Linked DNA regions of Mus musculus. The protein of the gene in region 7 binds, or shares a complex with, the protein of the main gene of each other region. Links are inferred from orthologs where the notes say so. Each region holds a gene or a part of one and is shown on either strand. Other genes may lie near its edges. The genes, in order: Rbm48, Srrm2, Sf3b5, Snrpe, Ppil2, Armc7 and Snip1.

Evidence for each region.
Region 1: Snip1 (region 7) and Rbm48 share a complex: the UniProt entries of both Homo sapiens proteins name them as parts of the minor spliceosome. The link is inferred for Mus musculus from reciprocal best matches to the Homo sapiens genes SNIP1 and RBM48.
Region 2: Snip1 (region 7) and Srrm2 share a complex: the UniProt entries of both Homo sapiens proteins name them as parts of the minor spliceosome. The link is inferred for Mus musculus from reciprocal best matches to the Homo sapiens genes SNIP1 and SRRM2.
Region 3: Snip1 (region 7) and Sf3b5 share a complex: the UniProt entries of both Homo sapiens proteins name them as parts of the minor spliceosome. The link is inferred for Mus musculus from reciprocal best matches to the Homo sapiens genes SNIP1 and SF3B5.
Region 4: Snip1 (region 7) and Snrpe share a complex: the UniProt entries of both Homo sapiens proteins name them as parts of the minor spliceosome. The link is inferred for Mus musculus from reciprocal best matches to the Homo sapiens genes SNIP1 and SNRPE.
Region 5: Snip1 (region 7) and Ppil2 share a complex: the UniProt entries of both Homo sapiens proteins name them as parts of the minor spliceosome. The link is inferred for Mus musculus from reciprocal best matches to the Homo sapiens genes SNIP1 and PPIL2.
Region 6: Snip1 (region 7) and Armc7 share a complex: the UniProt entries of both Homo sapiens proteins name them as parts of the minor spliceosome. The link is inferred for Mus musculus from reciprocal best matches to the Homo sapiens genes SNIP1 and ARMC7.

Annotation. Positions count from the first base shown.
Region 1 is NC_000071.6:3,593,748-3,598,047, reverse strand, and holds the start of Rbm48 (RNA-binding protein 48), read left to right. Parts: upstream 1-1,500; 5' UTR 1,501-1,530; coding exon of another isoform or gene 1,531-1,659; 5' UTR 1,660-1,845; coding exon 1,846-2,082; intron 2,083-2,602; coding exon 2,603-2,793; intron 2,794-4,300. Other genes in the region: Pex1 (peroxisome biogenesis factor 1), read right to left, coding at 1,531-1,659. UniProt on the Homo sapiens protein: As a component of the minor spliceosome, involved in the splicing of U12-type introns in pre-mRNAs.
Region 2 is NC_000083.6:23,813,225-23,816,724, reverse strand, and holds part of Srrm2 (serine/arginine repetitive matrix protein 2), read right to left. Parts: intron 1,604-3,500; coding exon 1-1,603. UniProt on the Homo sapiens protein: Required for pre-mRNA splicing as component of the spliceosome. As a component of the minor spliceosome, involved in the splicing of U12-type introns in pre-mRNAs.
Region 3 is NC_000076.6:13,007,204-13,009,683, forward strand, and holds Sf3b5 (splicing factor 3B subunit 5), read left to right. Parts: upstream 1-1,246; 5' UTR 1,247-1,419; coding exon 1,420-1,680; 3' UTR 1,681-1,980; downstream 1,981-2,480. UniProt on the Homo sapiens protein: Component of the 17S U2 SnRNP complex of the spliceosome, a large ribonucleoprotein complex that removes introns from transcribed pre-mRNAs.
Region 4 is NC_000067.6:133,607,481-133,611,408, reverse strand, and holds the start of Snrpe (small nuclear ribonucleoprotein E), read left to right. Parts: upstream 1-1,128; 5' UTR 1,129-1,191; coding exon 1,192-1,245; intron 1,246-1,664; coding exon 1,665-1,691; intron 1,692-2,449; coding exon 2,450-2,512; intron 2,513-3,928. UniProt on the Homo sapiens protein: Plays a role in pre-mRNA splicing as a core component of the spliceosomal U1, U2, U4 and U5 small nuclear ribonucleoproteins (snRNPs), the building blocks of the spliceosome.
Region 5 is NC_000082.6:17,094,253-17,097,752, reverse strand, and holds part of Ppil2 (RING-type E3 ubiquitin-protein ligase PPIL2), read left to right. Parts: intron 1-305; coding exon 306-397; intron 398-958; coding exon 959-1,048; intron 1,049-1,672; coding exon 1,673-1,748; intron 1,749-2,709; coding exon 2,710-2,870; intron 2,871-3,500. UniProt on the Homo sapiens protein: Has a ubiquitin-protein ligase activity acting as an E3 ubiquitin protein ligase or as an ubiquitin-ubiquitin ligase promoting elongation of ubiquitin chains on substrates.
Region 6 is NC_000077.6:115,488,317-115,490,966, forward strand, and holds the end of Armc7 (armadillo repeat-containing protein 7), read left to right. Parts: intron 1-396; coding exon 397-758; 3' UTR 759-2,150; downstream 2,151-2,650. Other genes in the region: Nt5c (5'(3')-deoxyribonucleotidase, cytosolic type), read right to left, coding at 2,283-2,428, 2,537-2,650. UniProt on the Homo sapiens protein: As a component of the minor spliceosome, involved in the splicing of U12-type introns in pre-mRNAs.
Region 7 is NC_000070.6:125,065,305-125,069,471, forward strand, and holds the start of Snip1 (smad nuclear-interacting protein 1), read left to right. Parts: upstream 1-1,367; 5' UTR 1,368-1,448; coding exon 1,449-1,648; intron 1,649-2,702; exon of another isoform or gene 2,703-2,785; coding exon 2,786-2,888; intron 2,889-4,167. Other genes in the region: Dnali1 (axonemal dynein light intermediate polypeptide 1), read right to left, coding at 214-294. UniProt on the Homo sapiens protein: Required for pre-mRNA splicing as component of the spliceosome. As a component of the minor spliceosome, involved in the splicing of U12-type introns in pre-mRNAs. Down-regulates NF-kappa-B signaling by competing with RELA for CREBBP/EP300 binding.

The DNA.
Region 1 (4,300 bases), on a different chromosome or scaffold from region 7:
GTAATTGCTAAAAGCAATGACCTCTCAACAAAAGTCATATTAATACTACACAAAACCAGGACAGGAAGCTGGGCGTGGTGGCGCACGCCTTTAATCCCAGCACTCGGGAGGCAGAGGCAGGCGGATTTCTGAGTTCGAGGCCAGCCTGGTCTACAAAGTGAGTTCCAGGACAGACAGGGCTACACAGAAAAACCCTGTCTCGAAAAAAACAAACAAAACAAAACAAAACAAAACAAAAAACCAGGACAGGAAACCTCATGTGTATCTAGCTCCACCTTTCTATAAACAATAAAGATTAGATATAAGCATGCAAGACTTAATCCAAATGCTTAGTATTTTACTTCTTCACTTCTCAAATAATAATAAAAATAATAATAAAGACCAAGACTATGTAATTCCTAAACAGTGATGAATCCAAGGAAGCAACAACATGTCAGGTTCAAATTCTTAGCGACCATAAGGAAGCATTTTTCTAAACTCATGGGGTGGTAAGCTTAATTTGAGATTTGAAAATACACTGAAAAATCCCCATCAGAAATGACAGGGAATAATGATCCAAGCTGGGATTTGGTAACAGTGAATGATTCCTTTCAGTCACCAGAAAGCAAACCAGAGAGTTAGAGAATATTTGGTGGAGATAAACTAACAGTAAGAATGGTTCTGATGAAATTGGTGTGTTCTGATAGGTGGACTGTAAAAGCAAGATAAATGTAGCAAAGAGGAAATAAAGGTAGAATACTTGAAGTCATTTCAAACTCTTGTATATTTTTTTTATGACCCAGTGTTCAGGTACCATGCATCTAGGATTTTAGATTTCAAATACTCTAACCCCATGAATACACTCAAACTAAGAGAGTCTATTTCTGCTCACTCTTAGGAAAATATGGATGCTGTATTTCCACCGATGGTTAATAGCCTTGAAACACCATAATGACAGAATCCAGACAGCTCGCTGAGGTCCAAGTAATCCTAGCTACCGAGGTGAAAGTGTGGGGTGTGAATAATTCCATCACCTTGTCACCCCGCCCCACCTCCCTCGCCGCACATATTCTTGCTATGTTCGAAGTCCTCCGGAGCAGGGAGAGCTATCTATCCTTTTATTAACCTTTCGCACAGGTTGGAAACCTTGGTAATCTACAAACCAAGTCTGCCACTCAACACCTCTATCGCTGCACCGGCAACTCGTTGGCAGGATAATGCTTTAGCAACCTGTAAGCAAACCTGTAAGAGCTCTCTAGAACTTTCCATCCTTGAGTGAGGGCCGCTTCTGACTGCTGGGGCAGAACCCTTGCATGCTCAGCTTGCTTTAACCGAGTTAAAGGGGTGCACTAGGAATTCCACGGTAGGGTCTGAGGATACACTAGCCGTGGTGTGGATGCACACGCTGCCACTCCACGCCATGCCCGCAGGGGGCCCTCGCTCACGCCTCAGCTCGGGGTCGGTGGCAGACGATGTCCCTGCAGGAAAAGGTGTCAGCTGACCCTAGTCCCACGAGACGTCAGTGGTGTCCGCGTCCCGCCAGCGCGTTACCTGCAGCAGGTGAAGCTGGGCCACGAGGCGCCGCGGCAGATGCAGGAAGCAGTCCCGAGCATTCGTGAAGGCCACCGTCACGACCGCCCCACCAGACCCCGCACCCGCTAAGCGATCGCTGCTCCACATTGTCCCAAGGTTCAACTCTCACCGGAGAGCGGAGTCCACCGGCTTCTCGTCAGGTGAGAGCGTCGGAACCCGAGAACATCGATCAGGCCCGCCCCCCTCTTCCCACGCCCGGCCGCTGTCACCCTCGGGCCACCTCCGAAGCTCTAGGGGGCGGCACGTCGCTCGTCGAATTCTCGCTCTCAGGAGATGATCGTCGATGGGGTCGATCCTTCAGCCAATCCTAGCACGCCTGGTCCATCCTGCTCTCTTATTGGACTCAGAGGAGCGCGGCTGGCGGATGTTGTTCTGGCGCGGGGGACTAGAGCCGGCAAGATGGCATCCAGTGACGGGAAACCTGGTGGCGTATTCGATCACCACGTCCAGACGGCTGTGTGTGACTCGCGGGCCAAATACCGGGAGGGCCGACGCCCTCGCGCGGTCAAGGTAGAGTGACTCGGATTCTTCTCTCCCCTCGGCAGGGACACTAAATTCCTGTGAGCACTAGCTCCCCAAGGCCTGCCTCCATAAAGGCATGGCAGGGATGTTGTGAGATCCATCTCTAAGTGGAGGGGGCACGAAGAACCCGGGCCCCGGTACCAAAGGTTATCACTACCCTCGGTTAGCTGCTTACCAAACCTCCAACCCACTATTTTTAGCTTTGTATCCTATGTGTTTACAATAGCGCTTCTCACAGGGCAAGCCCAGGGTGAGTGAGTGTTCAGTGGCTGTTTACATTAACCTCTCTGGAGTCAGCTTTTGGAAAAGACGTCTGTTAAGTGGTTTAGTCAGATACCCTTATGTGGAGTGTGGTAGTCTTTAGGCAGAAGAGTGACAGTTTAGTGTGTATGTTTTGCAGACCGGATTGTTTCTTGTTTTCAAAGCTCCATTTAAAAGGGGGTGGGAGGACCGATTTGCCATAGGCTTGTTTGAAGAGTACATTTAACGAGGTCTCCTTTGACTTTAGGTATATACAATCAATTTGGAGTCTCAGTACTTACTAATACAAGGAGTTCCTGCAGTGGGAGCCATGAAGGAATTAGTTGAGCGTTTTGCTCTGTATGGTGCGATTGAACAGTATAACGCTCTAGATGAATACCCAGCGGAAGATTTTACAGAAGTTTATCTCATTAAATTTGTGAAATTACAGAGTGCAAGGTATGTACAAGTTAAGCAGAACTCCTGTTAAAATCTTATTCCTGTTGCTGTCATTTTGGCCCCAACTGTTTCCCAAATGTACCCAAAGCACAGAAGCACTTCTTGCTCTCAGTCTTCCTGATTGGGGGGAGGAGGGGAGGGGACAGGGTTTATTTGGATAGCCTTAGCTGTGCTAGAATTAGTTCTGTAGACCAGGCTGGCCTTGAACTCAAAGATCCCTTTGCCTTTGCCTCTGACTCTCGAGTGCTGGGTTTAAAGGTATGCACCACTCCACCTCGCCTTCCAGTTTGTTTTTCACCAGGCCTCACATCTGCGACTTAATCACTCTAACAGTGAGTGACATCCCAGCTCTTCCTTCAAGCTTTTAAAAGGCTGACTTTACAACAATACTCTTCCCATCCTCTCATACCTGTGCTTGGCAAATTTTGAACCTGTAGTGTGGTAGATTAAGAATTACGTTTGAAGTAAATTATCAGTCCTGTGGATTCATGACTGTGGAGAATTTTAGTCCTCCAAGCAAATTTTTGTTCTTTTCCTAAAATCCATATGGCAAAAAGGACTACTTCTTGAGGTTCACTGAGCAAGGATGAAATGGGACAATTTATGTAAAGGGAGTAGACTGGTACCTCCTATTAAGAGGAAATAGTAGAGCCGGGCAGAGGTGGCACATGCCTGTAATCCTAGCACCAGGGAGGCAGAAGCAGGTGGACCTCTTGAGGTGGAGCCAGCCTTGTCTACAGAGTGAGTTCCAGGAGAGCCAGGGCTACACAGAGAAAACCCTGTTTCCAAAAAACAAGCAAACAAACAAAAAGTAACTATTAGTAATGACAGTTCTTATTTGTATAGTTCTATGTTAATCAACTTTGTATTCCAATAAGGAATGCTTTATTTTATGTTAACCCCTTTTGGCGGGGGGGGGGGGGGGTGCATGTGTGTGCATATTCCTGTGTGTGTATGTGTGTGTGTGTGTATGTGAGTGAACACTAGCCTGAAACTGGCTGTGTAGACCAGCTGACCTAGAACTCAAAACTTCCTCCAGACTCTGCCTACCCATCTCCACCAGGTTCAAAGGCTTGTGTGCACTACAGTGTACTCTATCCTATTTTTTGAGGTTGGGCCCCTCCCTCACTGAGCTCATTGGCTAGATTGGTGACTGTCAAACTCAGTGATCCTTCTATCTCTACCCTGTGAGCACTGGAATTACAGGCACAGTGCGGTGCCTGGCTTTCACGTGCATGCCAGGGGTCTGAGCCAAGGCACTCCAGCAAGGGCTTTTCCACCGGAGCAGCCTTCCTAGCTCATGTTAGCCATTTTTTCATTTTAATCACTAACCTTATCTAAACCATATCTTTTTCTGGCTTTTGCTATTCATAAACTTTTTTTTTTTTTTTGGTATGGAAAAAGACTTCAAATCCCCTGGAGCTGAAGTTACAGGTGGTTGTGAACCACCCAAGATGGATGCTGGGATTTGACTCTGCTCTTCTCAAAGATCAGCAAGTGCTCTTTT
Region 2 (3,500 bases), on a different chromosome or scaffold from region 7:
TGCTAGATTTCACTCGAGGAGAAGACCCAGAGCAGCTTTGTCTTGATGGGGTCCTTGATTTCACCTCACCATCAGGTGATGATTCAGAATGGCTCTGTCTCTGTGGTGTTGCAGTGCATTCATCAGCCTGCATGTTTGTTACAGACCCTGGTCTTGGTGGTGTTCCAGATTTTACTTTAGGCTGAGGAGAATTTGAACGACTCTGTCTTGGTGGTGTTTTTGACTTTTGTTTAGGTGGTGAAGAACCAGAACGACTTCGCCTGGTTGGTGTCTGTGACTTTTGTTTAGGACATGGAGAGGAACCTGAAAGGCTTCGCCTCAAAGATTTTGCTTTGGATCGTGGTGAAGAAAGAGACCTGCTCCGTCTTGAGGAAACGTGAGATTTTTTCATTTCTGGGCTTGAGTTGGATCTGCTTCTCCTCTGAGATGTTCTAGATTTGTTCTTCCTCTCTGAGGATGAGCCAGATCGTCCTCTTCTTTGTGGTGTTCTAGAGTGAGATCTTCCACGTCTCACAAGACTTCTACTTCGAGATCGTCGTCGTGCTGGTGTTCTGGATCGTGACCTCCCTCTCCTGGCTGGCGTTCTAGACCGAGATCGAGCGCTTCTTCTGGCTGGCGTTCTAGACCGGGACCTCCCTCTCCTGGCTGGTGTTCTAGATCTTGACCTGCCACTTCTCCTGGCTGGTGTTCTGGACCTAGACCTACCACTTCTCCTAGCTTGGGATCTACTCCGAGACCTCCTTCGAACTGGTGATCGTGTCCTAGACCTGCGGCGAGCGGGTGTTCTTGATCTGGACCTGCCCCTGCGAGCTGGTGTTCTAGACCGAGACCTACGCCTGGCAGGTGTTCTGGATCGTGATCTTCGCCTGGCAGGTGTTCTGGACCGAGACCTACCCCTTCTAGCTGGTGTTCTAGATCGGGATCTGCCCCTAGTAGCTGGAGATCTAGAATGTGATCTGCCTCGCCTTGCTGACCTAGACCTGCCTCTTCTCTGGGTATTTCTGCTCCTGGACCAACCTGGCCTCTGAGGAGACCTTGAACGGCCACGCCTCTGGGGACTTCTAGATTTTCCCCACCTCTGTGCAGATCTTGACCTTCTCCACTGAGGGGACCGGGACCTGGAGTGACCTCTCTTGGTGGGGGTTCTAGATCGAGACCGTCCCCTCTTAGTGGCAGGACTACGAGACCTCCCTGCTCTATGAGATGGGGTATGAGAATGAGATTTATCCCGCTTTGCTCTGCCATGCGAGCGATTCTTAGATGTGGGTGAAGAAGAAATCTCTCGACGGGACCCAGGAGCTGGTGTGGGTTTAAGACTTTCAGGAGAAGAGCTGGCATGCCGAGAACCTTTGGTAGGTTGAGGGGATGGTGGGCAACTTTCTGAGGAAGTAGACTGGGGAGGTTTCTCAGGAGACTTAGGTGGTGAACAGCCCCGGGTTGGGGAAGCCTCAGATGAGGGGTTAACTGGCTCCTGACTGGACGGGATTGCTGCAAGGGGTCGTGGGGAGTCGACATGTTGCTCAACAAGGAGCGGAGTAGGGGCAGGTAGTTCTGGCCCTGTGCTGCTCCTTTCCGGAGAGGGGCTAGGTCGAACTGCAGATTTCTAAGAGTGAAAAGAGAAGTAGGAATAGTAAAAAAAACACCAAAACCTCATTATCCTATAAGATACGAAGAGTTTCTAATAAAATTTTACACTATATACTTCTTATACCAATTGACCCTTTCCCTACCCATAGTTATACTCAGTAACAAGACAATATGCAATGCTTAGTTGGGAGCCAGTAAGATAGCTTAATGGGCCCATGAGGTGGCAAAGAGAAAACCTACTCTTCAAAATTGTTCTATGAACTGCACATGTGCATGTATCACATGCACACACACAAAATAAATGCATTTTTAACAATGAGAAAATAAAGTAGCAAGGGAAAAACCTGACCATATAAACAATCTCTAACCTCAAGTAGTAATTCAGAGAAACAAGAAAATGTAAACAATGCATTACCAACAAAATACCACCTGCCCTGTGGTACACCTTATAGACAGACAGCCCTGTCTCCATTTTGCATACTGGGGTTACACATAGACTATCACTAGCAACCAATTACTCACCTACTAAGTCATTTTCCTTTTTTTTTATCTTACCTCTTAATTTTTTTTTTGCTTTGTACATTGTTCTCTTAAACTTACTCAATATCTTTTGATGAGTGTTTTAAACTCATCAAGCAAGTCATCTCTATTGAATGTTTTTTTCTTTTCAAGGGAAAGTGTCTGACGTTGTGTATGGGTTGCAAATGAACACTACAACACCACCCAAAAAAGGTATAATTAAACAAAAAGAGAAAGTTTGGGTGACAATAACTTTCACCTGAATATGGACTGACTTAAAATATCACAAATGGGCACAAGGTTTTAAAGTGTATAATGTGTTAAATTTTATCAAGAGGGGCCTGGCATGGCCATATATGCCTTTAATCCCAGTACTTCAGAGACAGAGGCAGGTGGAGCTCTGTGAGTTTAAGATTAGCCTGAACTATGTATTAAGTTGCATGACAGCCAGGGCCTTATGTAAGGAGACCCTGTCTCAAAAACAAACATACTGACCAACAGTCAATGAGATGGCACTTGCAACATAAGCCTGGTAACCAGAGTTCAATCCACAGAACACATATATAGGTAGTTTTGTCCTTTGACCTCCAAACACATGTAACACATTTGCCTCCCCCTCATACATACACACAAAAATTAATTCACCATGGTCTTACAGGAACAGGCCAAACCATAAAAACAGCTTAATTACAGAAAACACCACAAACACCATAGCAAGCAGCAAAGTTTTCTTGTAACTTATCTTTAAAATGAGACACAATACGGGAAATATTAAGTTACATTAATTACTGAAACCAGTAGAAACAATCAGCCACAGAACTAGAATAGAGAATATAAAACAGGAACTACTAAAAAGATAATTCTTTCATGCTTTCAGATTGGTGGCATCAAATCAAAGGATTGAAAAATGTAAGAACTCATGACAAGCATACAATAAAAAGGATATAGATACTTTAAGTAGTAAAGTTAAAGGTAATTTTTAGAAAACTTTTTGTTGGGGGGTGGGTATGGGGGACCTTTGGGATAGCACTGAAAATGTAAACGAGGAAAATACCTAATTTAAAAAAAAAGAAATCAAAAAAAAAAAAAAAGAAAACTTTTTGTTGGGCAGAAGCAAGATGACAAAAGAAAACATCATCCTTGGTCATAATTCGATGTACATGTGCCACTTCTATGGCACTAAGGCACTTAACCACCACCTTCAGAAGTTGACCTGTGGCAAATGTGGCTATTGTGGCAAGAGCAAGAGTATTATTGGAGTCCCAAGACTAAAAGAGACAAAGCACTACTGCGTCTGGGTGGATGAGGAGCCTAAAATTGTTTATCCCACATTCAGACATGGATTCCTTGAAGGAACAACATCTCAACCCAAGAGGGCAGTTTTAGCTGCTGTA
Region 3 (2,480 bases), on a different chromosome or scaffold from region 7:
TAGTCTCTATATTTTAGGAATAAGATGTGTATTATGTTGTCTAAGTCTTGGTGTTGGTTGGTTTTATTTTTTTTTGAGACAGAGTTTCTCCTTGTAGCCCTGGCTGTCCTGAAACTAGCTCTGTAGACCAGGCTGCCCCTGAACTCAGAGATCTGCCTGCCTCTGCCTCCCAAGTGGTGGAATTAAAGGTGTGTGCCACCACCACCTGGCATGATGCTTATTATGACAAAATTTAAACAGAAGAATTAATATTGGATGGAGCGGAACTCACCTCTAATCCCAGCATTCAGGAGGCAAAGGCAGGAGGATTGCTGTGAGCTCAGGGCCAGATCCTCCCCCCACCAAGTAAACAAAAGTACCCCCAAACTCCTGTATTTTCAAATTGTCTGTCATTGTCCATTCTCTTTGGCTGTGACTGCTCTTACCCCATTCCTAAAATGGTTTTTTGAGAGTACAATCTACATCAGGCTATACATGTATCCTTAAGGGATACCATAAAAGAAGTACAATTATCTTTTCTGAGTTGTTTGTAACGTGAGAAAGTGCACAACCCCCAACGTAAGGCAGTAATCAGCAGAAAAACACAGGTGACTAGAAAGAGAGGTGTTCTTTCTATCTATCTATCTATCTATCTATCTATCTATCTATCTATCTATCTATCTATCTATCTATCTATCTATCTATCTATCTAGTCTTGAACCACATCTGACTTCAAGGAATAGCTTTTGAGTGACCTAGAGCAAACAACCCCTCAATGGGTTGAGAAACGGGAGCCTGGAGCTCGTTGTGGGAGCCATTAGTGAGACTACTGGGGCTGACACTGATCACCAAAAATACTTTTCCCAGTGCCCAAATTCTAAGAGACAAAGCTGGGACCGCGGGGGAACCATGCTGCCACGTTAGCTTCTAGGTACAAGAGTTAATTTTCCTGGTTGCTTGTAGTTGAAACCCTCTTGGATTTCCCCTTCTTAGTAGCCCAGAGCCGTGGGATAACTCTCAGAGGCCGTTTGCCATCGTCCTACAGCAGCCAGGCAAAAACAAAACAAACAAAACAAAACCCTAAAACAAACTCTTTGGACTACTTGTTCCAGAATGCAACGCTCAGACTAGAACGTGATCACCCGAGAGCCACTAAGCGGACCATCATGCAACACTCTTCGAAGTAGGCGGGCTCCGTGAGGAGACGGCCCAGTGTTTCCTAGGCAACTCCAATCCCGCGACAGACGGCACTTCCGCTTCCGCCTAGGAAAAGACTGTCTACTCCTGCGTCTCGGTGGCGTCTTTCTCCCGCGCCTGCACGAACTGAGGTTTTGCGTGGCGGCGGCGGCACCGGCAGCGGCAGCGTCTCTCACTTGAACGCCGCGAGCGGCAGCTTCTCGTCTGTGTCCTGACCTCGGAGCCTACGAGCAGAGCGGCGCGATGACGGACCGGTACACCATCCACAGCCAGCTGGAGCATCTGCAGTCCAAGTACATCGGCACGGGCCACGCCGACACCACCAAGTGGGAATGGCTGGTGAACCAGCACCGCGACTCCTACTGCTCCTACATGGGCCACTTCGACCTCCTCAACTACTTCGCCATTGCCGAGAACGAGAGCAAAGCCCGCGTGCGGTTCAACCTGATGGAGAAAATGCTGCAGCCCAGCGGGCCGCCCGCGGACAAGCCCGAGGAGAACTGAGGTGAGCGCTGCCCAGTCTTCCCCGTGTGCCGGCTGCGAGCCTCCTTGCTCCTGCATCTCGACCATTCCGTGTTGGCTGTGTCGCCTGACCTGCGTACCTGTGGAGGATTCGGAACAAGTCATGGAGAGACTGTCCGGGTCCGCTCCTTGTGAACTGTGCAGAAGGAGTGATCCCAGCATCGGCAAGCGAGGGAGAAGACTGCACGAGAGTGATGCGCATTTCGAGTCTGCTTTTCGATAGTTGATGTCTTCTTGCCTTTTTAAAAAACCATATATATATAAAGTTTAGGGTTTGCTCTATTCTTTGGTATGGATTGCTGTGTTCTTTGGGAGGTTATTAGGAGAGGGTTCTGTGGATCAAGGTTTTGTGAGAGTATAAATAGGAAATGGGGGCAGAAGCACAGGGCAAGTCCTTAAGTCGTCACACACACTTTTATGATATTATCCCACCTCAATAGTCTTCACGCGTACAGTGTGTCTGGTCCCAAAGAAACCTTGAAGCGCGGAGATTGCCCATATCCCTTTCCTACCCTTCCCTTTATGCGCTACCCCTTACCCCTTTTTCTTGATGATTACCCTTTGTGTCTTCAGAAATGATAAACTGGCAAACAAGTGGTATCACGTCCCCATCCTGCTCAGCGCCCCATTCCCCCCACCCCTCTTCCCTTTTCACCAGAGCATTTTCCAAAGGTTTGAGGGCATACATTATGCCAGCTTGAAGAGTTTACAACTTTAAAAACCATGCTTACAATGCTACTTTACTGAGATGTCATTTGAGAACAGATTTTAAGGAATCAAGA
Region 4 (3,928 bases), on a different chromosome or scaffold from region 7:
TAAATTTTGATCATTTCCCTGGTAAGCAGCTCTAGGTACTTTCTGGTGAGGTGGGGGGCAGCTGCAGCTTCAAGAAAGGCTGCTATGTTGTGTTGCTAAGCGATGGCATTGAGTAGACTAGGCATATACATTTTCAACAATTTTCTGTGTGCATGTGGAGGCCAAAGGATGTCATCAAGTGTCCTTCTGAGTCACTCTTCACCCTACCTTCTGAGACAGGGTCTCTCATTGAACCTAGGACTTGGCGATTAAGTTAGACTAGTTGGCCATCCAGCCCAGGCACCCTCCTTCCTGTCTCTGGAATTACAGGCATGTAATTTTGTGTAGGTGCTGGTTGACAGACCTCATGTCCCACCTACCGAATCATCTCCCCTGGGCCCAAGGTATCTGCATTAAATGCATTTTTTTTTAACTTACATTTCTAACTTACCTTAAGTTTATCAGGTTGTATACCATGTAGGTTGTTTTGTTTTGAAACAAGGCCTCATGTAGCTTAGATCTGGAACGTACTACTTAGCTTAAGGTCATACTCACCTTGCGCCTTCCACAAGCTGAGATTACAGATGTGTTCTAGGAGCACCTGTGCACTACTACCTCCCTGAATCTTCACCTCCTGTCCCCTTGCGGGACGGAGATGCTGAGGCCTAATGACTTAATTATCACCGGTCACACAACTGAGAGAGATCTGAGTCCAACAAGCCGATTTCAATACCTCCAAGCTAGTTAGATTGCCATCTTCAGTTGCCACTGCAACAGTTAACTCTGCATAAAGGTGATGAGGGTTGAATCTGTTATTGAACAAGCCACAACTCCACCACTGCTTCGGGCATGACCATCTAGACTAGCTCTGGGGCCCAAAACAAATAAGGGGAGTCTGCAGATGGTTCTGGACAAGATGCCGCCTCTAAATTCCAGAGCAGCTCTCAGAAGAGCACCTAGGCAGAGGCAAGCCTCTCAGCCTACCTCCAGGTGGCGCTGTAGGACCGACCTCGACTTCAAAGAGCGGTTGAGTCGGAAGGCCGCCGGCGGAGTCTATCAGCATAGAGAAAAAGCGGCTCCTGGCCTAGAGAGGCGTTCCCCAGGACCGGCCCGCGTCGCCGACGACCACTGCACTTCCGTTTCCGGGTCTTGCTTCCGGAAGTCGCTTTCCGAGGCGGCCTTCCTACTCGTGTGGTCTTTGTGACTTCCACCATGGCGTACCGCGGCCAGGGCCAAAAGGTGCAGAAGGTGATGGTGCAGCCCATCGTATCCTACGCTGCGTGAACTCGGGGCTTTGGGGGCCGTAGGCGCCGTGAGCGTGGGCGGGGAGCCGGGCAGCCCGCTGCGGGCCGCTTCCCGTGAGGCCCTGGGGCGAACGGGGAGGCAGGAAAGCGCGCGGAGTTGAAGGGCGGCGGGAGGCGGGAGGCGGAAGGCGGGCTCCGGGTGGACCCGGCCAGGCTGGCGATCCGCGATGAAAGCGGGGGATACCGAGGAGGAGAGGAGGATGTGGGCCATCGGGAAGGTTGGAGAAACGAGGGCGGTGGGGAGGGAGCGCATGCTCCCGGCGGTCGTTTGTGCTTGCGGATGTAGCCCGGCCGGACCTTGGGGCGCTGGAGAGTCCGGCGCGGTTGGGAGCGGAGGCTCCGCTGTTTGTGTAGTTCTTTTCCTTGATCGCCGTGCTGCAGAACCTTATCTTCAGATACTTGCAAAATGTACGTAAGTTGTTTCCTTACTGTTACTGAAATGAAAGTTGGGCCTGTTTGACTCTTTGTAACAAATTCTCTGTTTCTAGTGCTTAGACTAAAAAATTGGGGGGGGGGGAGAACCAGAGTTGAGGATAAGGTCACAGGGAAAGCGCTAATTATTAATATGTCCGTGCTGACTTAAGGATGCACACAGTTACCATTATTCTGTAAGAACAATGTAATTATATTTACTATTAAAATTACTCTGTAAGAACGATTTGTCATCGGATTTAGCAGTGACAGTTGCATAGTGCTTTTTCCATAGTTGGACTTAGAATGGAGAAAAGACACCAAAGCGGGGTTTGGGGGAGTGGGGGCGTTATATACAGAGAAGCGAGTGGCAAATGCTCTTCTTTGAGGAGATTTTAGCGATGTTTATTTTAGAGTGTTACAACACAGATGAAAAATCGTTTTAAGCCATTGTAATTTTTAATCGCCAGATTCGCTTTGTACTATCCTGTGAACAGTTCTAACTGTAAGTGTATTCATGCCAGAAGCAAAAATAAATTTTCAGAGTAGGAAAATTAGTTTGGACAGGCCTGCCCGAGCACTTATTAAATGTTTCTCAGCAGGTTAACCAGTGTTGCTAGCTCTTAGATGAAGACTAACTAGTTCTAGTTTTTGGCTTATATTTATTGGAATTTTTAAGATAAGTCGTTTATTGTGGAAACAAAGTAATGGAGTGGGATTTGTTTACATTTCTAAAGTCATTATTTTTATTTCAGAGATCTCGAATTCAGGTGTGGCTGTATGAACAAGTGAATATGCGGATAGAAGGTTGTATTATTGTGAGTACCCAGGCTATTTTTCCTCAAGTTGTTATTAAAAAAGACATCTCAGAAGATGGCCAGTAAGAACAATATACAAGGCGTCAAGGACCCAACCCAAAGAAAGCTCTTCAGAGCTGGAGTTATTTATTTAGCCTTTTCTCCTTGCTCTGGTTAATAGGGTTAGATAATACTTCTCTTAAGAGGAAGGGAAGGGAGAGGTTAGGCGGTGGTGGCGCACGCCTTTAGTCCCAGCACTCGGGAGGCAGAGGCAGGCGGATTTCTGAGTTTGAGGCCAGGCTGGTCTACAGAGTGAGTTCCAGGACAGCCAGAGCTACACAGAGAAACCCTGTCTTGAAAAACCAAAAAAAAAAAAAAAAAGGAAGGGAGAGTTAAGACTTTTAAGAAGAGCTTCGTTTGTGAGGAGAGGGAACAAAAACAAAATGAGAGGGGGGCGGGGAGTGATAAAGGACTTGCATTCTGGATTAGATCATGCCAGAATAGAGCTGGTGGGGGTGAGACTTATGGTTTGTTAGGCTTCTATCGTGATGGTGTTGGGGATCAAAGTACCTGCTCTACCACACAGCTACCATGGCAATAAGTTTTTGTTGTTATTTTAGATTTATTTGTCTGAGTGTTTTGCCTGTGTGTGTTTAATGCCCAAACAGGCCAGAAGTTGTTGGCTCACCTGAAGATGGGTGATTGTGAGCTTCCATGTAGGTGCTGGGAACCAAACCTGGGTCCTTTGCAAGAGCAGCAAGGAAGGATTTGTAACTCCACCACCTCTCCCGTCTCTGTTTTTCCTTTGTGTGAGGCAGAGTCTTTTAAGAGAGACTTACACATGGAAATCCTCTTGTCTGAGCCTCTTCAATGTTTAGATTAATAGCCATGAAAATGGAAAAAAAATTTTTTTAAAGATTTATTTATTTTTATGTGCAATGGTGTTCTGCCTACTGTTATTTGTGTGAGGGCACCAGATCCCCTGGGACTGGAGTTATCAACAGTTGTGAGATGCCATGTGGGTGCTGGGAATTGAATCTGGGTCCTCTGGAAGAAAAGCCAGTCTTCTTAACTACTGAACTGTCCAGCTCTGGCATTGTTATTTTGAGGCAAGAAATTGCTATGTAGCCCAGTAAAGGCCTTGAACTTCCCATCCTGCCTCAGCCTCCTGAGATTTACAGACGTGCTCAGCCTCACTTTTTTTTTTTCTTTTTTGCATCAAGGGAGTGAGTGGGGTTGCTTTGTACATACTCATATGTGTGGATGTATGTGCTAGAGGTATCTTTTATTGCTCTCTGCTTTTTGAGCCTGGAACTCATGGATTTAACAAGACTAGTTGGCCAGCACTAGGTGCGGCTGCAGGCCACTGTGCACTGCATTGTTTGAGTAGGGATCCAAACTCATGACTGCATGTACTTTACCAATTGACATGTCTCC
Region 5 (3,500 bases), on a different chromosome or scaffold from region 7:
CCTCCGTCTCTTTTTTTCCTCCTCTGTCCCGTCCTCCCTGTCTCCCTCCAGCCTCCCTTCTTCCCTCTCTCCTCTCCTGTGGTACTTGTTGGATGTAGAACTTAGCACATGCTAGGCAAATACCCTGCTGCCACTCCCTTTTAGAATTCCACTTTGAGACAATGTCGTGGTAGATTGTCCAGCTAGCCTTGTACTCTGTTCTTCTGCCTTAGTTTCCTGGGTAGCTACAGTTAAAATATGTACTATCATGATTGTTTAATCAAAGCCCTTGAGGGCCACTAGTCCTGTGTGTGCTTTCTCTCTAGGGCAGTACCACTGTCCAGTGCTGTATTCCGTGTTCACTGACAACACCCATATTGTGGCCATCAGGACAACTGGCAATGTCTACACCTATGAGGTAGACCCCCATTGCAATGAGTGGGACTATCTAATGTTGGGCCCGAACGTGTGCCTGGCTGAGTGTTGAGGTTGAACCAGGAACAGTGAGCATGCCTGTCCTCATACCTTTCGTAGCCTCTAGCACAAGACATTATCTCTAAAATAAAGGTCAGGTGACTCTAGTGGCCTTTGGACCTCAAACCCAGGCTGGCAGTTTGGGCTGCCTAAGCAAGGATTCCTTGTAGCCTGGAAAGTATTACCCTCTCTTCAGCATGGACCAGACTCTGGAACAAACATGGGAGTAAAGGGAGATAAAAAGAGGCCAGGTTCTTAGGACAGGGGCCAGGTTGGCAGGAGGGACATGAGCTGTCTCCATTCCTGGCTCAGTCTAGGATGAGGACAGGCATGATACAGGAGGGCCCATGTTGGAACTCTTGCCAGAAGCGGCCAGGTTGGTTTGGCTAGTCTCTGCCAGACAGGTGAGAACTCTTGAGACTACCCCAGAGTGGCCCTGTGTGCTTGTTTACCTCATACCTCTGTGCCGGCCCAGAGGAACTGTGATATCTCTGTACTGCTCTAGGCAGTGGAGCAGCTAAACATCAAGGCCAAGAACTTGCGGGATCTGTTGACTGATGAGCCCTTTTCCAGGCAAGACATCATCACCCTGCAGGTAAAGAGCTTCACAGGAAGTGCCTTGCCTTGACCCTCCGCTCTGCCCTCTGCTCTGCACTCTGCCCCCCAGCTTTCTTCACCAGGCTTGGTGGTCACCTGTACCATAACACCCCTGCCTGCTGCTACCCAACTATTGCTTAGTGCCACCCCCTCCCCCTACAGCCACCATGGACCATGACTGCCTCTGGCTCTCATGGCTCCTGTATGAGGGCTACACTTGCCTCATAACTCTCTTAGGTGTTAGGACACTTAGGCTGCTTTTCAGGTCCCATCCCTACTCTCAGAACAGCAGCTACACAGTTGTCCCCGTGGTGGTGTGTGAATGGCCTCGAGGGAGCACAGGCTAGGATAGGGTTAAACGACTCTGTGGTTGTTACTGAAGCTTGGTCCAATGGCTTCCCAGTCCACATCCTGTGCTACCTGGCAGCAAGCCTCATTCCTTATTTTTGAGGCCTAAGGCAGGGCACACTGCTTGATGAACAGGTAGGCAGTCTGTGCCATCTTGCTTGTCACTGGGTTGGGGCACAGCCTTGGCCTCCTTCCAGCCTTCAACATCTGGCACAGGTGGGTGAAGTGCTTGACACAGTCCATTGTACTTCTGAGTGTTCTCTTCTTTTCACAGGACCCCACCAATTTGGACAAATTCAATGTTAGCAACTTCTTCCATGTGAAGAATAACATGAGAATAATAGACCCAGGTATGGACACCTAAAGGCTACTGTGAGTGACTACATGTTCTCGGGCAAGTCCTTCCTTCTGGGGGGCCCAGACACTATGCTTCTGAGTGGCTTTTGACTATCATGACATTTGCTGTATAGATGAGGCTGTCCTTAAATGTGCAGCATCCTCCTGTGTTTCCCTTCTAAGTGCTGGCATTACAAGCGTACACAACCATGTCTGTCAGACGGTTAGAGAAGCAGCTGAAACACAGACACCTACCTTTCCCTAGCTCTGGTGGGACTGTGCTTTCTGGATTGCCGTTGGCCACTGTTCTTTCCAGGGTACAGTGACAGGGCTGCAGGTGAGACTGGGTGACATGAGACTTGTCTAGGGCCCTGACCTTCCTGCTTCCTGTGCTTGGTCCACACCATTGACCACACTGTAACATACTGTAATGTACTATAACATACTATGCAGTGGCTCAAGTTTCTGAGCTCACTTGTGCCATGCCAAGGAGCCAGCTACACACAACTCAGGGATAACTGCGCTCAGGAGACCCAGAGGCCAGGCCTAGGGAAGCTCACTGCCCAGTAAGTTACAGCCTTTGGCCTAGCAGGCAACATGTGGCCTTCCTTCCCTTGAAATAAACACGTTTAAATTCACAAAAGCAAAACATCATTGTGAAAAGGCTGCAGTAGAGGTAATACAGGAAACAGGGTGACTCCCACATCCCTTCAGGCCTGGGGCCACTCACCATGACAGCGTCTTCTGTGTGCTCCACCAACCCCCTTGTTGCACCTACTAGAGCTCCTGCCAGATGATCAAGGGCAGTAAGTCATGGCTGTGCTAAGACCAGCGAACCCTGCCCTAATCAACTCACCTGTGGCTTCTTCTCATGTGGCCTTCCCCATCTCTATTCCTATTAGCTCATCTTGAGGCTCTTTGGGGCCTTGGTTTTCTGGGGCCTTGGCTGCTCCGTTCCAATATACTGTTTTATAGATGAGGAAAAGGCCAAACAAGACCCATCTTATTATTTGAAAAACACAAATTCGGAGACGAGAGAGACGCTACAGGAGCTCTACAAAGAGTTCAAAGGAGATGAGATTTTAGCAGCTACCATGAGGCCACCTGAGAAGAAGAAGGTGGACCAACTGAATGCGGTGAGTGGGGCACTCTGCCTGACCGAGAAAGATCCCAGGGGAGGTGCTCACGGGGCCTAGATGCATTTGCTGGCATGGTGGCAGGGACCTTCCCAGTGCTGTTGGGCCCTCCAGGGCTGCTGGGGTGACTGGGCCCCAAACAGATCAGGAGGGAATAGCACACTCTTGGGGTGGAGGAATGGTTGACAAGCTGGGGTCCCATGGCAACAGTGGCTCAGCAGAAATAGGGCTGCCTTATGCTACTGGCCCTGACACAGGCTTCAGTGACCAATGTTCCCGCTTTCTTTGGTGTTCCAAAGGCAGCTTTTACATTTCAGGACAGAGATAGGAGGGTGTGCAGATCTGTGATGGCAGGGAGGGCTAGGGTTGCTATAGCTACTAAGGTCTCAGCCCTTACCTGGGCCCTACCGGGGACGAGCATGCTTCTCTGCCCTATGCCGTAGCTACAGCTGTGGTGCTGGAATTTCTTTAGCACATTTAGCCGATAGGTGCTGTCTTTCTCCCAAGTAGACTGAAGTCTGGAGAGCCTGAGCCATGGGGAAGGCAGAGGTGGAGTCTCCCACATAGGGATTTTCTAGGAAAATGTGGAAAACCAAAGTTCATCTATAATTTCCCAAGCTGAACACAGCT
Region 6 (2,650 bases), on a different chromosome or scaffold from region 7:
CTCTGCCAGGGCCATACACTGTCTTAGCTGTTGAGCCACTTATCTAGCCTGGAGACATTATTTTTAAGCTCTACATGGTATTTTTTATCCAATGAGCTTGCTGTAATTTACTTAGACTTAGCATGTCGTGAGGTTTCTGGTTTCTTTTTCTTTCTCACTATCCTTTTGGGGGAGGGCTGATGCTGGGGACAGAAGTCAGGGTGACTCCCAGGGTGGACTCCTGAAGCCTTGGCAGAGGACTGGGTCTTGGTGACCTTGCAGTCCCTGTCCACAGGCAGACTTCTCCCCAGGCCCAAGTGCTTCCTCAGGACTCACTAGCCAGAGAGAGGCTGGGAGGCGAGACAGAGGAAAACCAGAACCCAGGCACCCGGCTCATCCACCTTTGCCTCTCTCCAGGGGGGCTCTGCAACCTGTGCGCGGACAAGGCCAACAAGGAGCACGTCCTGCAGGCGGGGGGCCTCCCGCTCATCATCGGCTGCCTGTCCAGTCCTGACGAGGAGACGGTGCTGTCTGCTGTCACCACTCTCATGTACCTGAGCTCGCCAGGCTCCCGCTCCCATCCCGAGCTGACCTCCCTGCCCGTGGTCCAGTGCATGCTGCGCTTCTCCATCTCTGCCAGCACACGGCTCCGGAACCTGGCCCAGATATTCCTAGAGGACTTCTGCTCGCCGAGCCAGGTGGCTGAGGCCCACAGCCAGCAGGCCCATTCTGCCCTGGGGATCCCACTGCCAAAGACTGAGGCCCCACAGCAGCCCTGACCCAAGGACACTTAAAGATCCTGCCACAGGTATAGGAAGCAGAAGGCTAATAGCATCCTGAGCCCATCCTGCGCAAAGTGGTGCTTGTTCAGCTGCATGCAAGCTGCAGTCTTGGCATGACAGGCGTTTGCATCCAGGGAAAACAGGAGGAGGGACGAAGCCAGACTTGAGATGCTTAGAGGAGAACCAAAGCTGGTATGGCTTTCATGGACTGGCAATCAATAAACTACAGACAGACCACCACCTCTGCTGCCCCCAGTGCCCAGCTAATGCCCTCGTGTAAGAAGCTGTGCCCCTGGGAGAGTGGCCAGTACCATGAGTGTCCAGAGTAATTTTGATGGCTAGAGATCAATCAGCCTTATTGTCTGGGGAAATGCCGTGGGTTGACTCCTCCCGTGTTGAGGCTGAGTATCTGGGCATGGTAGCATTGACTTGGAGAGCTCTGCAGAACAGAAACAACTATCCACACAGCCCTGCTCTCTGCGAGGCGCCCTAAGAGGAATGCAGAGGTGAAGTGTCTTCCCTTGGGTGTCACAGCTTAATGAGTGTTAACTAAATGGCCATTGGGCATGAAGAACAAGGCCCTACAGGTGTGAGAGCAGAATGAAGGAGAACTGAGGGCACCCGGGCATGCCTTGTCTCTCTGGAGAGGCCCTACATAGGATCCTTGGGTTAGACAGCAAGACAGTGACTTCTGTTTTACCAGGCTGTGGACCACTCATGTGCCAGCTGCCAAGTGTGGCATCCCTGTCTTTTCAAAAGAGTTGCTCTGGCCCCCTTTGCCTATGGGTCAGATCTTCTGACACTTGGGTGGGAGCCCTGAACATGAACCTTTCATGGGCTATCCCAGTCTGCTTCCTGCCATTCTCTCAGGAGCCACAAGCCTCCAGTAGGTACTGTCAACCCCTCAGGACTCAGATGCAGACCTTCCATAAAGACACCTAGAAACTAATGTCAGGGGACCATGGCGGCCCAACCTCTAATCTAATCCCTTGAGAGACAGGAGCGGGATAGCGATGAGTCTGGTCCACCTAGTGAGTTCCTGACCACAAAGGTCCGATAGAGTCTAACGAGCTCCTGTAACTGGTTACCCCGCCCTCCTCTGCCACTGAGAAGAAAAAATGGAATTAGGGGATAAGCGAAGAGCAGTCCTGACAGGAAGTGGAGTTTAGGGAAAATGGGGGCCCTGATCACTCAGCATTGTCCCCCCTCAGATGGACAACGAAAGCTGAGGAAGGAGATCTACAAGGGCTGGAGAGGGGCTGTCGTACAGCCACTGGATGAAGGAAGGCTCCCGCTCCCATCCTGAGCTGAAAAGGAAAAGGAGCATCAAAGATCCAAAGCCTCGCGTTTGGTTTTTATTTTTATTAAAAACCTCCTGATTTTCTCCACTGTATTTGTGTGCTAGTCTCCTTCTTTCCCGTGTAGGCCTCCTGGGAGGAGCCGGAAAGCAGTCTGTTCAAGTGGCTCCCTGATTAAAGAAAGTCACCTGTCCAGGCAGGGTCCTGTCCACCTCAGGGTCCTTCACAGGCTGGCTCGCTTGCTCTCAATGATCCCCCTCCAGTTGTCACTCCAGGAAAGCAGCCGTCTCCTGGTGGGGGGCAGGGCCAGGTGCTGATTGTGGCAGCAGGTGAACAAGATGTGCTCCCAGCTTGGGGTCTCCTCTAGGCCTGGGCAGTAAAGACAGCGTGCGCTCTGTAATTGGGTCATTTTTACTCCTCCTTAATCCCAGCAGGCCAGATGCCTGGGGGTTGTCAAGGTTAACTGGCTGGCCCAACCTTGAATGTTGTCTTTGTCATCAATGAGCAGGTCTCCCATGACCACCGTCTTGTCCCTAGTCAAGATAATCCGCTCCACAAACTCTGGCCCCAGGTTCTGCTCCACCCAGCGGT
Region 7 (4,167 bases):
TTTTCCATGTGACTTTTCTCATCTTAAATTTGTCCTCTAAGGTCATAGCTAGGCTTCTTGTTCTCTTCTCCCAACCTCCATCCCTGTCCCAATTCCCTTGGCTGTCAGCCCCAGCAATCTGTCCCCTGAAATTCCAGAGATCCTCAAAGCTGGGATGTCTTTTCCCCATGGGAGTTTGTAGGATCTCGCGTCCCCTGAGACGCCTGTTCATACCGTGGGGCTCCGTTTCTCTGTATTCCGGCTCACCAACACCGGGGTGTCATATTTGAGCAGAGAGTCTGCTGGGGGTATCATGGTGGCAGTAGGGGTAACAACTCCGTAGCGGCCCCTGTGGAGTCTTGTTTGCGATCACCATGGAAACCCCTCCTCTCCTTGCCCCATGGATGGGGCGGGGCCTCTGAGGAAGGCGGTGCCGGCCGCGTGCAAGTTTTGTTCTACTGTGCTTTCTCCGCAAGCACTAAGTTTCTTAGTAAAGAAGACTGGACCCCTAGCGTTAGGTCTGTTTCGGTTTATGATGAAATGGACAGACCACCTTTGATTAAAACGGAAGTCATCTAGTGACTCTATAGAGTATTTGGCGACGATTGGCATTTGGAAGCCAGAGGCTGGCAGATCTTTGTGGATTCCAGGACAGCCAAGGCTATATAGAGACACTATTTCAAGAAACAAAAAAGAGTTTCACATTGTTGAGTGTCTGTGTTTCGTAACTACTAATAACGCGCAAGGAACAGAGCTGGGTTAGCTTTCCCACAGGTTTTTTTCTTTTTTCAAAAAAAAAAAAAAAAAAAAAAAAAAAAAGCTGGGCGATGGTACCACACACCTTAATGACAGCATTTGGGAGTCAGAGGGAGGCAGAGTTCAAGGTCAGCCTGGTTATAGAGTGACTTCTAGAACAGCCAGGGTACACTGAAAACCTGACTATGACGGGGGGGGGGGGAGATTGTCATATATATTTTTTTGAGGTTCTGGGGACTAATCCAGGGCTTCGTACTCGCGAGGCAAACGCTCGCTCGGTAACTAAGCTACAATCTCAGCCTTCCCTCCCCTTTTAACTCTTGATTTCTATTTGGCGGTGCTGAGGATGAATTCAGAGCTTTGCGATCTATCCGAGCTACAACTTTTTCAGATTTTGAGACAGTTTCACTAAATTGCCCAGGTTGGCCTCGAAATTACTGCGATCCTCCTGCTTCAGCCTCCCGGGGGGTTGGCCCTGCCTTTTCAGTACTCCAGCCACACCTCCCAGCAGCGGGGACCCCGTGGCCACTCGCGCCGGCGTCCCCAGCGTCTGAGACTCAAACACCTGGGGCCCCGCCCATCAGGGGGGCCGACACCGTGAAGGCTTCTGGGATAGCGCGCTGCCCGGAAGCGGAAGTGCAAAGCTGTCCGTCACTTCCTACGGCTCAAGTGGCTCAACGGACCGTGCAAGTGACTCTCGGTCGGGCCGCAGGATGAAGGCGGGGAAAAGCGAGCGGGAGCGGAGCGGCCGGCGGCGACACCGGTCAGGCGACGCTCTGACGACCGTGGTGGTGAAACAGGAGCGTCTGAGCCCCGAACCCGTCGCGCACCGCCGGCCCGACGCTCCAGCCGCTAGCCTGTCCCCGCCCGCCGCCGAGCCTGGCCACTCGGGTCACCGCGGGAGCCGAGCCCGGTAAGCGAGCCGGTGATTGGGCGGAGGACGGGATGGCGCGGGGGCCGGTGGTGCGAGCGGCTCTGGAGTGCAGAGCACCTGTTGAGTTGAAATGAGATTTCCCCCGCCTGCCCGCGAGTGGATGGTGCGAGTGGCTTCTCCCCTCGTCTGCCTACAAAGACACGTTGGGTCTTGGCGACTTCTTCGCAGCACTCATTCGCCAATGCCTCCATGTGGCATCGATTTATTGAGTGCGTAGTGTGGGTTAAAGATCAATTGGAGGTACTGGGTCACAAGGCAAAGAAGAGAGATGCTTTTTCCTTGGCGAAGTTGGGCAGGCTCTAACTCGAAGAAGGAAAACAACAAATAGATAATTTCAGTCAGTATTAAAGACAGATCAAAACGGCAGTGTGGTAGCGAGAGGCTGGGTAGAAAAAAGAGAGGGCTTGTACAGAGGTGCTCCTTAACGGAGACCTGGCTGGTAGGATTGATCCATTCTCTTGAGTCAAGAGTCTTTTAGCAAAGACTCCAGGAAGGACCAACCCACTGTGGTCGGGCATGCTTGTAACCCAGCAGAGGGGATGCTGAGACAGGAGGTTTCTGAGTGTATACACACAAACACGGCGCGTGCACGATTATGACAGAAAAATATATACATAGAACCTGAGCTGGAATTCTGTTTGTTTTAGAAGTTGAACAACAGCAGCAACAAAAACAAAAACAAAACAGCCAGCATATCTGGAATTGAGAGATGGAGCAGCATTGTAGGCTGGTAGGAAGGATGTGGGATGGAGGACAGGGCAGGGCCCTGAGACCTGCCAAGGGATTGGTTTTGGTTGTTGGAGAAGGGAGTTGTGTTAGGGAAAAAACCAGGCTAGATTGGCTTCCTGGATAGTAGTGCCAGATAGTAGGATGGCGCATCCGGAGAAGAAAGGTTTCTGAGGCGTTGGGGTTGGAGAATAAGGTTGTCTAGGTGAGAAGGCTTAGCAGGCCATTGTGTATGTGGTTGGGAGAAGTGTTTATGGGAAGTGAAGGCCTGCTGTGGCTACTGATCTCACAGATGTGTTGTGTTTAGTAGGTGAGCCTGATCCTGGAAGCTAACTTACTTTCGGGAAGGAACTTTGAGGTAAAAAATCCTGTGTACCATTCTCTGTAAAGGTCCCCAGCCAAGAAGAAAAGCAAGTCCTCTGGGAGAAGAAGCAAGTCACCACGGACCAAGAGAAGCCAGAGTCCCCACTACCCCATGGTCAAAGTGAAGCAGGTGAGTGAGTGAGTGAGTGAGTGGGCAGGGACCATGGGTGGAAAGCTCCAGCCCAGAGCTGTTGCTGAACCCCAAGAGGTTGGCAGCCAGGTGTGGACATGCTTCCTTGTCACTGCAGTGGGCTTTTCTAAAAATGGGATATGTATTTGGGGCTGTTTTTCCTGAAATTTTAACGTTTGGAGACAATTGTTGATTTGATTCTGATAACTCTTGTCAGAAATAATACGGAGAGATGTACATATCCATGTTTCTCTCAATGGCAACTTCTCGCACAGCTGGACAGTGTCGTGGTCAGGACACAGACGTTTCACCACCATCAAGGTGCCTCATGATGTCTGATACTTCTCCGCCTTTATCCTTCCTTACCTCCTGGCTGGCCGCTTCTCTCTTTCTATTGTTCTGGATGCACACTTAAGCCCAGGGTCTTTAGGTTAGAAGATTGTCCTTGGTGCTGTTGAAACCAGCACAGATGGGTCACGTTGGGTCTGTGAGTGCCCATGTGCTGTAGGACCAGTTTTTCTTTTTCTTTCTTTTTTTTTTTTTTTTTTTTGAGACAGGGTTTCTCTGTGTAGCCCTGGCTGTCCTGGAACTTACTTTGTAGACCAGGCTGGTCTCGAACTCAGAAATCCGCCTGCCTCTGCTCCCGAGTGCTGGGATTAAAGGCGTGTGCCACCACGCCCGGCTAGGACCAGTTTTTCAAAGGACATTGGTTGTCTCCATTGAATTATTTTACTCCCACATTGAAACTCAGTCAGGTATATGTCTATCCATGCAGACTCGATTACTGCACTTGCATAGTAAGTCTCAAACTGAATGTCCTCTTTGCTGCATATGAGCTGCCATGTGGGTGCTAGGAATTGAACCCAGGTCCTCTGGAAAAAGTAGCCAATGCTCTTGTCTGTTGCGCCATCTCTCCACACCACCCTCCTCTTTTTCTTTTTTTCCTTTTAGCTGTTCTGGTTCTTTCGTCTCCATCTCTATGTAAATGTTCGAGAGTGTGTGTGTGTGTGATAAAAATCTTTTAAAAATAGTATTTTTTTGCATGTGTATGAGTGCTTTCCCCGCCCCTGCATGTATGTGTATGCACTGTGTATGTCTGGTGCCCACAGGGTCCAGAAAAGAGTACCAGAGTCTCCAGAACTTGAGTTAAGGCTGGCTGCAAGCCACCTCATGGGTTCTAGCAACTGACCCAGCTCCTCTGGAAGAACAGAAAGTGCTCTAACTGTAGAGTTACCTTCTAGATTCCTTAGTAACATCTCGAAAGAGGCAGGTGTTGTGG